Linked DNA regions of Drosophila melanogaster. The protein of the gene in region 2 interacts with the protein of the main gene of each other region in a pairwise test. Each region holds a gene or a part of one and is shown on either strand. Other genes may lie near its edges.

The links.
Region 1: the proteins of CG15212 (region 2) and ChT interact in a two-hybrid assay, tested with the Drosophila melanogaster proteins (one large-scale study listed by BioGRID).

Annotation. Positions count from the first base shown.
Region 1 is NT_033777.3:18,678,743-18,686,719, reverse strand, and holds the start of ChT (choline transporter), read right to left. Parts: upstream 6,117-7,977; 5' UTR 5,723-6,116; coding exon of another isoform or gene 5,642-5,722; 5' UTR 5,384-5,641; intron 4,374-5,383; 5' UTR 4,281-4,373; coding exon 4,007-4,280; intron 3,932-4,006; coding exon 3,347-3,931; intron 3,217-3,346; coding exon 2,895-3,216; intron 2,818-2,894; coding exon 2,545-2,817; intron 2,449-2,544; coding exon 2,058-2,448; 3' UTR 1-2,057. Other genes in the region: CG46318 (uncharacterized protein), read right to left, coding at 5,642-5,722; CG7706 (uncharacterized protein), read right to left, coding at 6,516-7,313, 7,368-7,562, 7,619-7,977. UniProt on the Drosophila melanogaster protein: Imports choline from the extracellular space to the neuron with high affinity. Rate-limiting step in acetylcholine synthesis. Sodium ion and chloride ion dependent.
Region 2 is NT_037436.4:5,129,789-5,132,764, reverse strand, and holds CG15212 (uncharacterized protein), read right to left. Parts: upstream 1,221-2,976; 5' UTR 1,162-1,220; coding exon 1,144-1,161; intron 1,006-1,143; coding exon 832-1,005; 3' UTR 638-831; downstream 1-637. Other genes in the region: CG4597 (uncharacterized protein), read right to left, coding at 2,525-2,976.

The DNA.
Region 1 (7,977 bases), on a different chromosome or scaffold from region 2:
TTTATTCCATTTCGCTATGCTTAAAACATTGATATGTATTCGGTTTAATTTTAATTTAATACATCATGTATATCGTAACCTTTCGTCCTATTCATTTGTATTTTTTTGTATTTAATTTCATTTAGTTCGGTTAACATAATGCCACTAAGGTAACTTGGAGTGATAGACCAAGTTTGGTTAACAATAACAGAAGTAGGTACGAGTATATATTTAACTAATTGCAAAACTGTTTGTTTTAACCAAGCGAAGTAAGTTCATCGCAGTTGAATGCATAAATTATTTGGTGGTTTTGGTTTAGTTGATAGTAACTTTACAAACGATTCGAGTAACTATAATTTGCTTATTTACAAACCTGGTGAACTGCACAAAGAAACGCGAGACATGGAATACAAACACACACATAATTAACATACTTTTATGTAGGATCTCTCTGGAAATTTAGTCAAATTGTAGTTCTTAGTTAAACGGATTCAAACGCCATCGAAATTGACACACTCAGAACGGATGCAAGAGATAATAACAATAACAACGAACAGATATGCTTGATATATCATATGATAGGTAGATAATCCTAAATGGACTCAAACTCTTCTTAGTTAGTTTCACTTATGTAAACGTTAAAAAACTCGACCCCGATATAACAAACATACGAGGCTCAATCAAAAAGCAGTCAACATTTATTACAATTTAATGAGTTGTATGTAGTTGCGGTATTTTCCATAGGGCTCAAAATCTTACCAAGTTAGTTACGCATATTAGTTTACTTGAGTTGACTTTAGTTATTCAGATTTCAGGTTTAGATTTAGATTTGGATTTGGATTTGGATTAGTTCTTTCCAACGGATCGAAAGAGCAACAAACGAGCCGAGTGACTTTGAAGAGGATGAACCAATGCCCACCTCTTGGTAAACTACAATATATACTCAAATGGAGATCAAAGGTTGGGATTTGAGGTTTGGGGTTCAGGCAGCGTGTGTTTGTCTATATATGTAGATCGGAAACTCCCTTTGCCAATGGTTCTTTAGCAGGTTCGTGGGTCAGTGGGTGTGGTTGTTTCCTTTGGGTATAACTCTCTAAATTCAGTGGCTGGCTTCTAGATATGTGTATGTATATATATGCTTGTGTATATGATTTGTATAGGTATATCTTTAGGTACTACGACGCAACATGTTATATATATATATATGTGTATATTTATATATAGATCTGCATTCCTGTGCCTCATCTGCCATGTATGTACCTTGTGGTTTTTGCTCTTTGAGAGCAGCTAAAATTCATTCCTATATAACTCGATATGCCTCGCTTTCGTCCACTTACACGACTACTGTTTGGATATAGTGGATGTTTTTCATACCCCGATTCTCCTATATAGCTAACACGACTGATATGTATATTGATATACTTCCGCCTTGTTTTGTTTTTTTTTTTTTGATATGTTTCGTTTGCATTGGTTTGTTAGTTAGTTAGTTTTGCTTAGCTTTGTTCGTTCTGGAAGGACACATGATTCACATTTTATGCATCTATATAGTATAGTATATATGATCGATATGCTAATGCCAGGAATGCCAATTCATATTGCTCAAATGCTCGTCACTTTGGTTATACATACATCTTAATCCATAGCCACTTTAACTGGGCTAACTCCTTTTGGGTTAATACGTGTTCCTAGGCAATTCTCGGGCTAGGAAAATGCAATTGATATGTATTCGTCGTCAATTGACTTGTGAACATTTACACATAGATAGATACTCTAACATCAAAATGAATACCGATAGAACAACGCTTTAAGCTTGTAGAAACTATACACAATAAGTTGGCTAAATGAAAATGTAAACCTTACGATCAGCTTTCTGCAATTTTTACCTGAGCACTTGTGTGTTTAACGTACGTTTCCTAATACTTTCTGTACTCCATTCCACGATCTGATGACCCCAACTTCCCCCCATTTGTGTCCCCCTAACAAGCGCAACATAAAATCGGATAATTCTCTGGTATCAACTGCAGCCTATTTTCGGGCATTCAGCTGCCCAGATGCCATGGGATTCTCCGCTACTCCGCTCAGAAGGCCGTATTGTCCTGCTCCGCCGTGGGCATGGCCATCCCGCTTTGGCTCTGGAGGTGACCACCGCCTCCGCCCGACGGCTTCACCCCAGTGGCGTTATCCAGCATCTTTTTGACCTGCGCCTGCGCCGTCTCCTGGTTGATGCGACGTGCCTCCGCCACCGGCAGATCGTCGTCCGATTCCAGGGCGGGATTGATGCGGCCATTGCGCTCATCCTTGCCCGCCATGGTGGCCGCTCCGTAGGATCGGGCCAGCGGTCCAGCCATCACGGATAGCTGCTCACCCGACTCCGAGGGATCGCCCACACGCTGCACATCCTCCGGAATATTGACCACACAGCGGAAGTAGTCGTAGCTGGGCGGCAACTTGCCGGACTCAAACATCATTCTGAAATTGGTTAGGAGAAGGGTTACATTTAATTTAATTACAATAATATAAATCAAATATGTAGTAACTATGTAATTTACATAGCCTTATACTCACTTAGTCCACCAGGAGACCGAGATGAGCGTGACCAGGCTGAGCAGCATGGCCATGGTGCGGAAGGGGAACATCTGCTCCTTGGTCTCCTCGTCGTAGCCGGGATACTTGATCAATGGAGCCAGTCCCAAGATGGCCTCACCGCCCGACAGTCGGATGGCCAGGGCCACAATGTATGCCGACAGGCTGCCGTACGTGTTGCAGTGCTTCTTGAAGTGCACCACCATCAGTAGCTGCGGGAACAGAATGACGTAGACCAGATCCGAGCACATGGACCTGTCCGGAAAGATAAGAAGAGCAGGCACTTAGCAAAATGAGCTGAGGGAGGGTGAATAATGCATCTTCTCACGCACCACAAACCGTAGATGGAGGGAATGGTGAGGGCCATGATGGTAGCCAGGATGCCCACCACAATGATGGCGACTCGCATCACCCAAATGATTTCCATCTCGGACGCCTTCTGACGGAAAATCAATTTGTACACGTTCCGAGCGAACATGGAGGCGGCGGAGAGCACCGAGGAGTCGGCGGAGGACATCACGGCGGCGGAAACAGCGCCCAATCCAAAGAAGGACACGAAGTCAGGCGTGAGGTACTGCAGCACCATGGGCAGAATCATGCTCGTCTCGTCCACGGTCAGGGGATAGGGTCCCTTGTAATCTGTCTCGTTCCAAGCTGTCAGAGAAAAGAAAATAGACATTAGTCAAAGGTGCATAGGTAATCTGCCCCCCACACCAAGGATATGTGCTTTCTATTTTGGGGATATCTGTTTATTACTTGCTAGTGTCGTCTAGCTAGGACTCACGTGTAGCCTTGGCAATCGCTCCGATGAGCACCGGGGGAATGGCCATCAAAATGCATCCGGCGGCTGCAACATAGGACAGAAGCTGGGCCCTTCCTGCCGTTTTGCTGGACAGCACCCGCTGGAAGTAGACCTGCCAGGGAATGCCACCAAAGACGAGCAGCAAGCCGTAGTCTATGTACAGCCAATGCTTTTTAGGCTCCACGTGCCCAATCCAATCCACCTCCAGGTCACTCAGGCTGCCCACGTGCTCGTTGCTCCAGGCGAAGGGAATGCACATCCACAGACCGATGAAGATGCAGAACAACTGGATCACGTCCGTATACGCCACGGAGTACAGTCCACCGAACAGTGTGTAGAAGATGGCGATGCAGGAGGACAGGATCACCGAGGTGCGGTGATCCATGTCGATGATCACCGATAGAGTGGCGCCAAGTGCAGCCAGGATGCCGGCTGCCCAAAAGACCTCACCGCATAGAGCGGGCAGGAAGAGCAATCCTCCCATCCGCTCACCAAAGGAATCCTGCAACGGATCCAACATGGTGATGTAACCCTGCTTGCGCATGGGATTGGCAAAGAAGATGCCACCTAAGTTTGGAAGGAGGATAGAATCACTTTTTGTTAAGAAAGGAATCTTAATTGGAATCTGTAAAGTTGACTTACCAAATACCAAGCTTAGAGCGTATCCAAATGGAGCCTGGCACCACACCAGACCCGATGTGTATATAGCCTCCGCCGTGCCGTTGATGTAGCCGCCACCCACCCAGGTGGCCGTCATGGTGAAGATGCCCACGAAGAGGCCGATGGAGCGTCCGGCCAGCATGACCTCCTCCTCCGAATCATTGCCGGACTGCTTCTTGCGACCGGCCCAAATGCCAACGACCAGGATCAGGAGGTAGAAGAGCACGATGCTCACCACGCCAGCGATATTGATCATCCTTGCAGTTCAGTCGTGTCCTTGGCTACGAAACTTAAGGTTCTCCACGCGCTGCTGTAACCAAATACTCTCAAAATGGGGTTGACCTTCTAGCTGTAATGGAATACAAGGGTTTCACATAGAGCCACATCCTTTAGCATAATGGTTAATATGGCAGGAGCTCATTTTTCAATTAACTAGCAACAGCACGAAGCATTAAATATTAAGCCAATGCATTGGCCATGGCCTCAGGTGCGCCTGACCTTTGTTTGCAAGGATATAATTGGAGTTGCCCCCACTTCCCACTTTCAACTTCACCCCTCCATTCCATCGTCCCACCCACCCATCAGAAAATGCGTCCTTGTTAATGGCGCGCAATTAAGGAGCTATTGCATTGAGTTTGACCTCCACGGGGTCCTATAATTATAATAGATCGACTATAGATACTAGATACTACAAATACTAGATACTATAGATACTAGAATCTTTAGTTCTCTGTACTGTATGCCAAAGTATCACAATTGTATAAATACGCATAAAAAATATTGTTGTAATTCGATTTTAATAAATAAAATTAACAATCAAATGAAAATCTTCGTAAAGGTGTGCTTTGTTAACTACAAAAATGTGAAATAAAGAAGTTCATTATCAAATTTTTCATTTAGATATAAACTTCTTATGAATGAATCAATGTATTTGTAAAAAGGACCTAATATTTAATAATTTATTAGCGTAAGCGTTTAGTTCCCAAGTAATTCGAACAATAGTGAAAGCATTTAAATGTGCGGAAATTAGTTCTGATTGCAGCCACACGCACGTGTCCTGCTTATGTAACAGACCGACTTTGGGAGCGGGATGGTCGGGACTTCACTCCGCTTATGTGAAATACATAAACAATTCAAACTACCTTGTGTGTGTGGGGGAAGGCGGGTCAAGTACGTCATAGCCACGTCAAGCGAGCGGCCGCCGCGAGAACACCTCAATCCGTGTGCCACATTGCCCCCTTGTGGCTGCTTCATTCACAAAATTGAGCAAAGCACGGAGCGCATCGGACTAATAGTGTGAGAAGTAATCCCCACCAGCAGTCTGCGCATGACCCATCGTATTTGCGGGTAGCCACTCACCTCTGTCTTGCGATTTGTGCGCCAAGTTCAAGCGGACGCCAATTTTCGATTGTGGAGCTTAGCGACGACAATCAAAGAAGCGCGCCAATCAAATGCGCCTCGACTTATGCAACATTTCCTGTTCCAAACGGGCTCTTGGTGGATGCGGGCTGCCCCGTAGTAGTACTAGCTTGAACGCAGTGAGTCGCGAGGGAATCGAACTCGAGGATGAGGTCTCCGGCCAAGGAACACGAATGGCGGTCGGAACACTAGACTAGACTAGGCTAGACAGCAGTCGCCCCAGCGGAGGGACGTCTTCTGAGACGGGCTGTTACGCGTCCTAAAATGTAACCCGCACATGTGCTCCGGCTGTTGGGGAAACGCGTGTCGGCCACATCAAAACCAATGCCACTATGTAGCTTCGCACCCGAGAAGTTGTCGAAAATGTTCCAGATTATATATAAAAAAAAAAAAAGAAAACCAACCACCCACACGTTCGTTCAAGTGGTGCTGACAAGCCTTCGGCTTGTTTGAAATGCAATCGCGTGGGCTATTAAATCGAACCCAACTTCAAGGTGGACTGAATCCAATCAGATCGATATTTGAAAATGAATTAAGCAATCAAACTAAAGCCATTCGGTTTTTGGTAAAAACAAACGAGCAGTTGACTACGGTCTATTGGTAAACTAAAAACACGTCTCCACGTTCAGCCGTCGGACCGTGTTGGCGGTTAGAGCGACGAAATTATAACTGAATTGGAAGTTCAAGTACTGGAGTCCCATCGGCGAACCGATGGCCTCTTCGACGCAAAATGGCTGAGCCGAGTGGGCGTTCATTTTGTGTATGTGCGCAGGAATTTTAATCGAATCGCCGGATGAATCGTTTCGTGGAAGCCGCCACTCGACTCAAACTAGGGGTGATTGCCAGCGCGAAGGAGAGTTGCCAGCACTGGAATGGTGGTGAAAAGCTCTACCACTCCGTCTAAAGTACCGCCGAGTACCCATTAAACAAATAAATATGAAAACATTCAAGGGTTCAACATTTACAAAGTTACAATGAGAGGGTCTTATAGAATACATCAATTACGAGACCTAGACTAGTTTTAAAGTACATGTAAACTAAATATTTCCAGTGTTTTAGGGCTACCAATGGGCTAGTAGCCAAACTTCTCGTTCAAGTGGGTGATTCCATCGCCGCTCTGGTTGGTCGGTGGCACCCACTTGGCGTACTTTTCGGTGTCCTCATGCTCGGCCAGCTCGTCGAGGTCCATGTCCACATCCTGGCGCTGCTTGTTGCGCTGTCGCTGGCGTTGACGTCGCTTTTTCTGCGCTTCTTCCGGTTCCGATGTGTCGTTTGCTCGGGCGGTGATGTCTTCAGCTGGCGCGCTGGAGTCTTCTACGGGGGTGCTCATGTCTTCATCTGGATTAGTTGAAGCAACAGTGTGGCTGGGAGCTGGGGGCGCTTCCGTTGAAACTTTTGTTGACCTCACGTTCTCTGGTTTTAGGACTTCCGTTTTAGCGACTGTTGGTTTGCTCTCTTCCGGTTGAGCAGGGAGTTTAGTTTCCTTCAAGCTATCGTTTTCTGGAGTCGATGGCTTTGTCGTACTTTCCGGCTCCGTCTCTTCCTTCTCCAAATTGTCCACCTCTGCCTCCTTTTCCTTTACTTTTTCTTTGACCTCTTCCTCTTCGACTTCCTCCTCATCGGAGGCAAATGCATTAGATTGAGTCATAGTCTGTGTGCTTGGTGACGCTTTGACCACCTTAAATTTACTAAACTGATTTCGCTTGCCAATCATGGGAAGCTGTTTTTTTTTGGCTGCACCACCTTCCTGGGCGGCCGACTCCTTAGAACCCGCCGCAAGGCTTGTGGTAAATGGCAGCGCAGTGGGCTTGGCAATCTTCAGCAGGCGTTCCACCTTTTGCTGCTCGCCCTTGATTCGTTGCTGCTCCAACTAATTGGAAGTCAATCAATCATTTTGTTTATACTAATATCTGTAAGTACTTACCCTTAACTTTTTGATCTCCGTCTTGTCCAGTTGCTCAACGTCTTTGGTGAGCATGTCCATGAAGTTGTCCAGATCATCACCTTCAGCTTGCTGTTTGGCCGCCAGCTCCTTCAGCTTTTTTTCATTTTGTTGGTAAGTGGAAATCTCCTGCTCTACCTTTTCCATTTCCATGTTGAGATCAATCTCTTGTTTCAGCTGTGGAAAAGTTGGAATTGGTCGGTCTGTTGATGAAAAAGTAATTTAAGACTTACCAAATCCTCATAGGTAAGGGTGACACTGACTCCAGCATTATCCTTTCGCTGCTTCTTACGCGCCACATCACCGGTGCGGTCCCAAAACTCATCTTCGTCATCAGAGTCCCGATTTTTGAGCTGCTTCCTTTTTTGGGCCTCCTGATTGGCTTGACGCAGCACACCATGCCTGTCCAGCGTTCGACACGCCTCCAGGGCGCACTGCACCACGCAGTCCTTCTTGCGCCCCTTGTGGTTAACCTCAACAATGATTGGCCTGCCATTGGAATCGTCGAGCGGAAGCTCCACACGGCAAACAAAGGAACCGGTGGACAATTCGTCGCACTTGTACTCTAGATTTAGACCCTCTCGCTCGAAAA
Region 2 (2,976 bases):
GTTAAAACAAAATGGTGCCCAAAAAAAAAACAAGTTCGCTTCTTAAGTCTTTTGTTTGAAGAGGTCCAACCTTCAATTCCAAATAATTTTCTTTTTTTACGATCACATTAAAATCATTCCTAATACTACTAATACACCTGAATGTTAAAATTTATGGTAAGTTGAAAGGCTGGAACCATGTGCTTCAACTTGATGGCAATCATGTCCGATTTTTCGTGACCAGCTCTCAATATGTCAATATGTGATGAGTTATCGTTACTTTTTACATAATTTTGATACTTGAAAATATTTAATATATTATATTTAGTTAAGCTATAATATTACTGGCATATCAAGTTAACTAATCATGCCAATTAATGAAAGTAGGTATGATCATTAATCTCACAGTGGGCTCCTTGTATTAGCACATCATTGAACCCACTTGATTCATTTACGACTGAGATTGGCCAATATTTATACGCATGTAAGGAAGATTCCGTTCGCTTTTCACACTCTCTACCCAGAAACGATCCGAAACGGGTTTCTTATTCAGATCTAGGCAAACAAAAACCCGACCCGCTGCCAGTCATTAGCTCCTTTTTGGACACACATGGAGATCTCATCCCCGACGCTTCGATGATATAAGAAAAGCCGACGTGTATGAAAATAACATTTATTTTAGTTACGATTACGTATACTTTACTCGTATGTATGTGCTTTTGTGTGTGTTTGTGTGTTTGTGCTTATTGGGTATTGTCTAAACAAAACGGTTTGAAAATCGAATGTAGTGGGGGAGGCAAGGTTCCCAATTGGCTGGACTAGAATCTGAACGAAGCTTATTGCGAATTTCTCCTAACCCAGGAGCTTCTTCAACTTGAGCAGCTTCTTCAGCTTGAAGATGGCCTGCGGATCCTGGGGACGCTGGACATCGTCGAAGGCAGGCTGGTAGATATTATCGCCGATCAGGGACTCATCCACGGGCACGGCAGAAATGAGGGCGATGGCCATAAGGCACACGAAAATGGTCTGAAAAATGTGAATTACAATAGATTTTTAGTACAAATTGAAAATTTAATATACTTCAACAAACAACTTCATATGTTGCACTTAATTGGAAATCATTTAATCCAATTATTAATCCAAATGTTATATCCAAATACTCACCAGAGCTAGGTACTTCATGATTGCTGCTGCTGGGGAGATGATTACGCTGATTAATCCAAATATCGACTGCACATGGCTCCATCTGGCATCAGGCCTTTTTATAGCCAAACTTTTGGGTGACCATCGATGATAATGTCATGTGTAAACTGCAGTTTGCAATGAAGAAGAGGACAAATGAACGATACATAAACAAAAGAGTCTCGCATAAATAAGACGGTAAGCGAAAAAGAAGTATAAACAGAAAAACCTGGCCAAAAGCAGACGATTCAAGGGGCGTGGCATGTTGAGGCAGGTGCTTTGTTTTTTTTTTTTTTCGGGCCAATTTTTTCGGCAGCGGGACCGAGCAGCAAAACCAGGCTGCCCTGTTTACTTGGTGGTGGCATCTTTTGTTTGCTTCGCTAAGCCACTGAAGAAGTTGATCGTTGATTAAATAATAATCAGACTGGGTAAATGAAGACATCGACAAATGAAGGTCACCTCAAATGCGGTCAGCGGAGTAATATTTAAACAAAACCCGGAAGAAGGCGGAAATTGTAATGCCAGGCAGTTTAATTGCTAATTCAGTGTATCTAGAGCCCCTCGATCACCCAATTCAAATGGTAAGTTAATCTGAAGTTCAAGATCCAATGATCGAATGATCAGTGGTCAAGCCAATTAAAATATAAATTATCACTTGAGCAGAGGATCCATAAATATTTGACACTTTGAACAGCTGTCAGGCCTGTAGAGTGGAATACTAAATCAATAAAAGTTAAGCTAAACGACGGAACCATTTTGGGCTGGGCGATGGTATAAAAACCAACATATGATTGGTACGGAGGCCAAGTGTTTTTTTTGCCCAGTCATCGTGCAAGTATTGATGATGCTGACGACGATCTTGCAGCTGAAAACCGGAAACATTCGCCCTGCTCTAAATATGTAAATAACGAACTTTCGAGAATGCCGCCACAATGTCAACGCAGCTCAAAAAAACATTCCACAGTTTGTACTCCACAAAAACAAATACGTGTCGAATGGATATCACAAACAAAGTTTACCATGACAACAAATTAAAAGATTGGATTGAATGGATATCTTTGAGTTAGTCTTTGTCGTCGGCTTGTCTCGCGCGGTTTAAATTCATGTTTGATATATTTCCCATGCCCCTGGGTTTTTTAATTAACATTTATGGGCGTGGCTGTAACATGTGCGATATGTCTCAATCCCGGCGAATTTTTAGTGGGAGATAATAAATTTTATTACGCACCCGAAACTCGGTGATAGATGGTACTATTTTGCAGAAAATGTGTAAAAATTGTTTTTTTGGGTGAAAAAATTTAGCAAAAAAGGGAGAGGCTCCATGTATAATATATTTGAAAAAATTTAAGTTACAAAAATTACATTATTCGTAATCGTTTGATACTTCCGAACTATCCTCTTTCGACTGAGTAACCTCTGTACTTGCTTCTTCGGTTTTCTCTACTGGCTTCTCAGTCGCTTTATTTTCCTCGCTATTTTTAAACAGCGATGGTTCCGTGTATCCAGGTGGTGTCTTAATGGAAAACTTGATTCTGCATGAAATCAGCTTCATAACTTCCTCGTAGACTTGTATCAGCTCAAAAAGTACCATGTATCTGCCATCGGGAATGCGGAAAGGAACCAGTTTGGAATCAATAACGCCATTCTCAACAAAATAGAAGCCTGGAACCAAAGGACATGAGACAACAAAAGTCGAGGGCAAAAGGCTTTCGCCCGGAATTTCCTCCACTGTAATATTGCGAAGTGAATCGAGGAGCTTGCAGAGATCCTTGTTCGTCATGCGAATCAGATCGAAGTAGTTCGAACCACCAACTT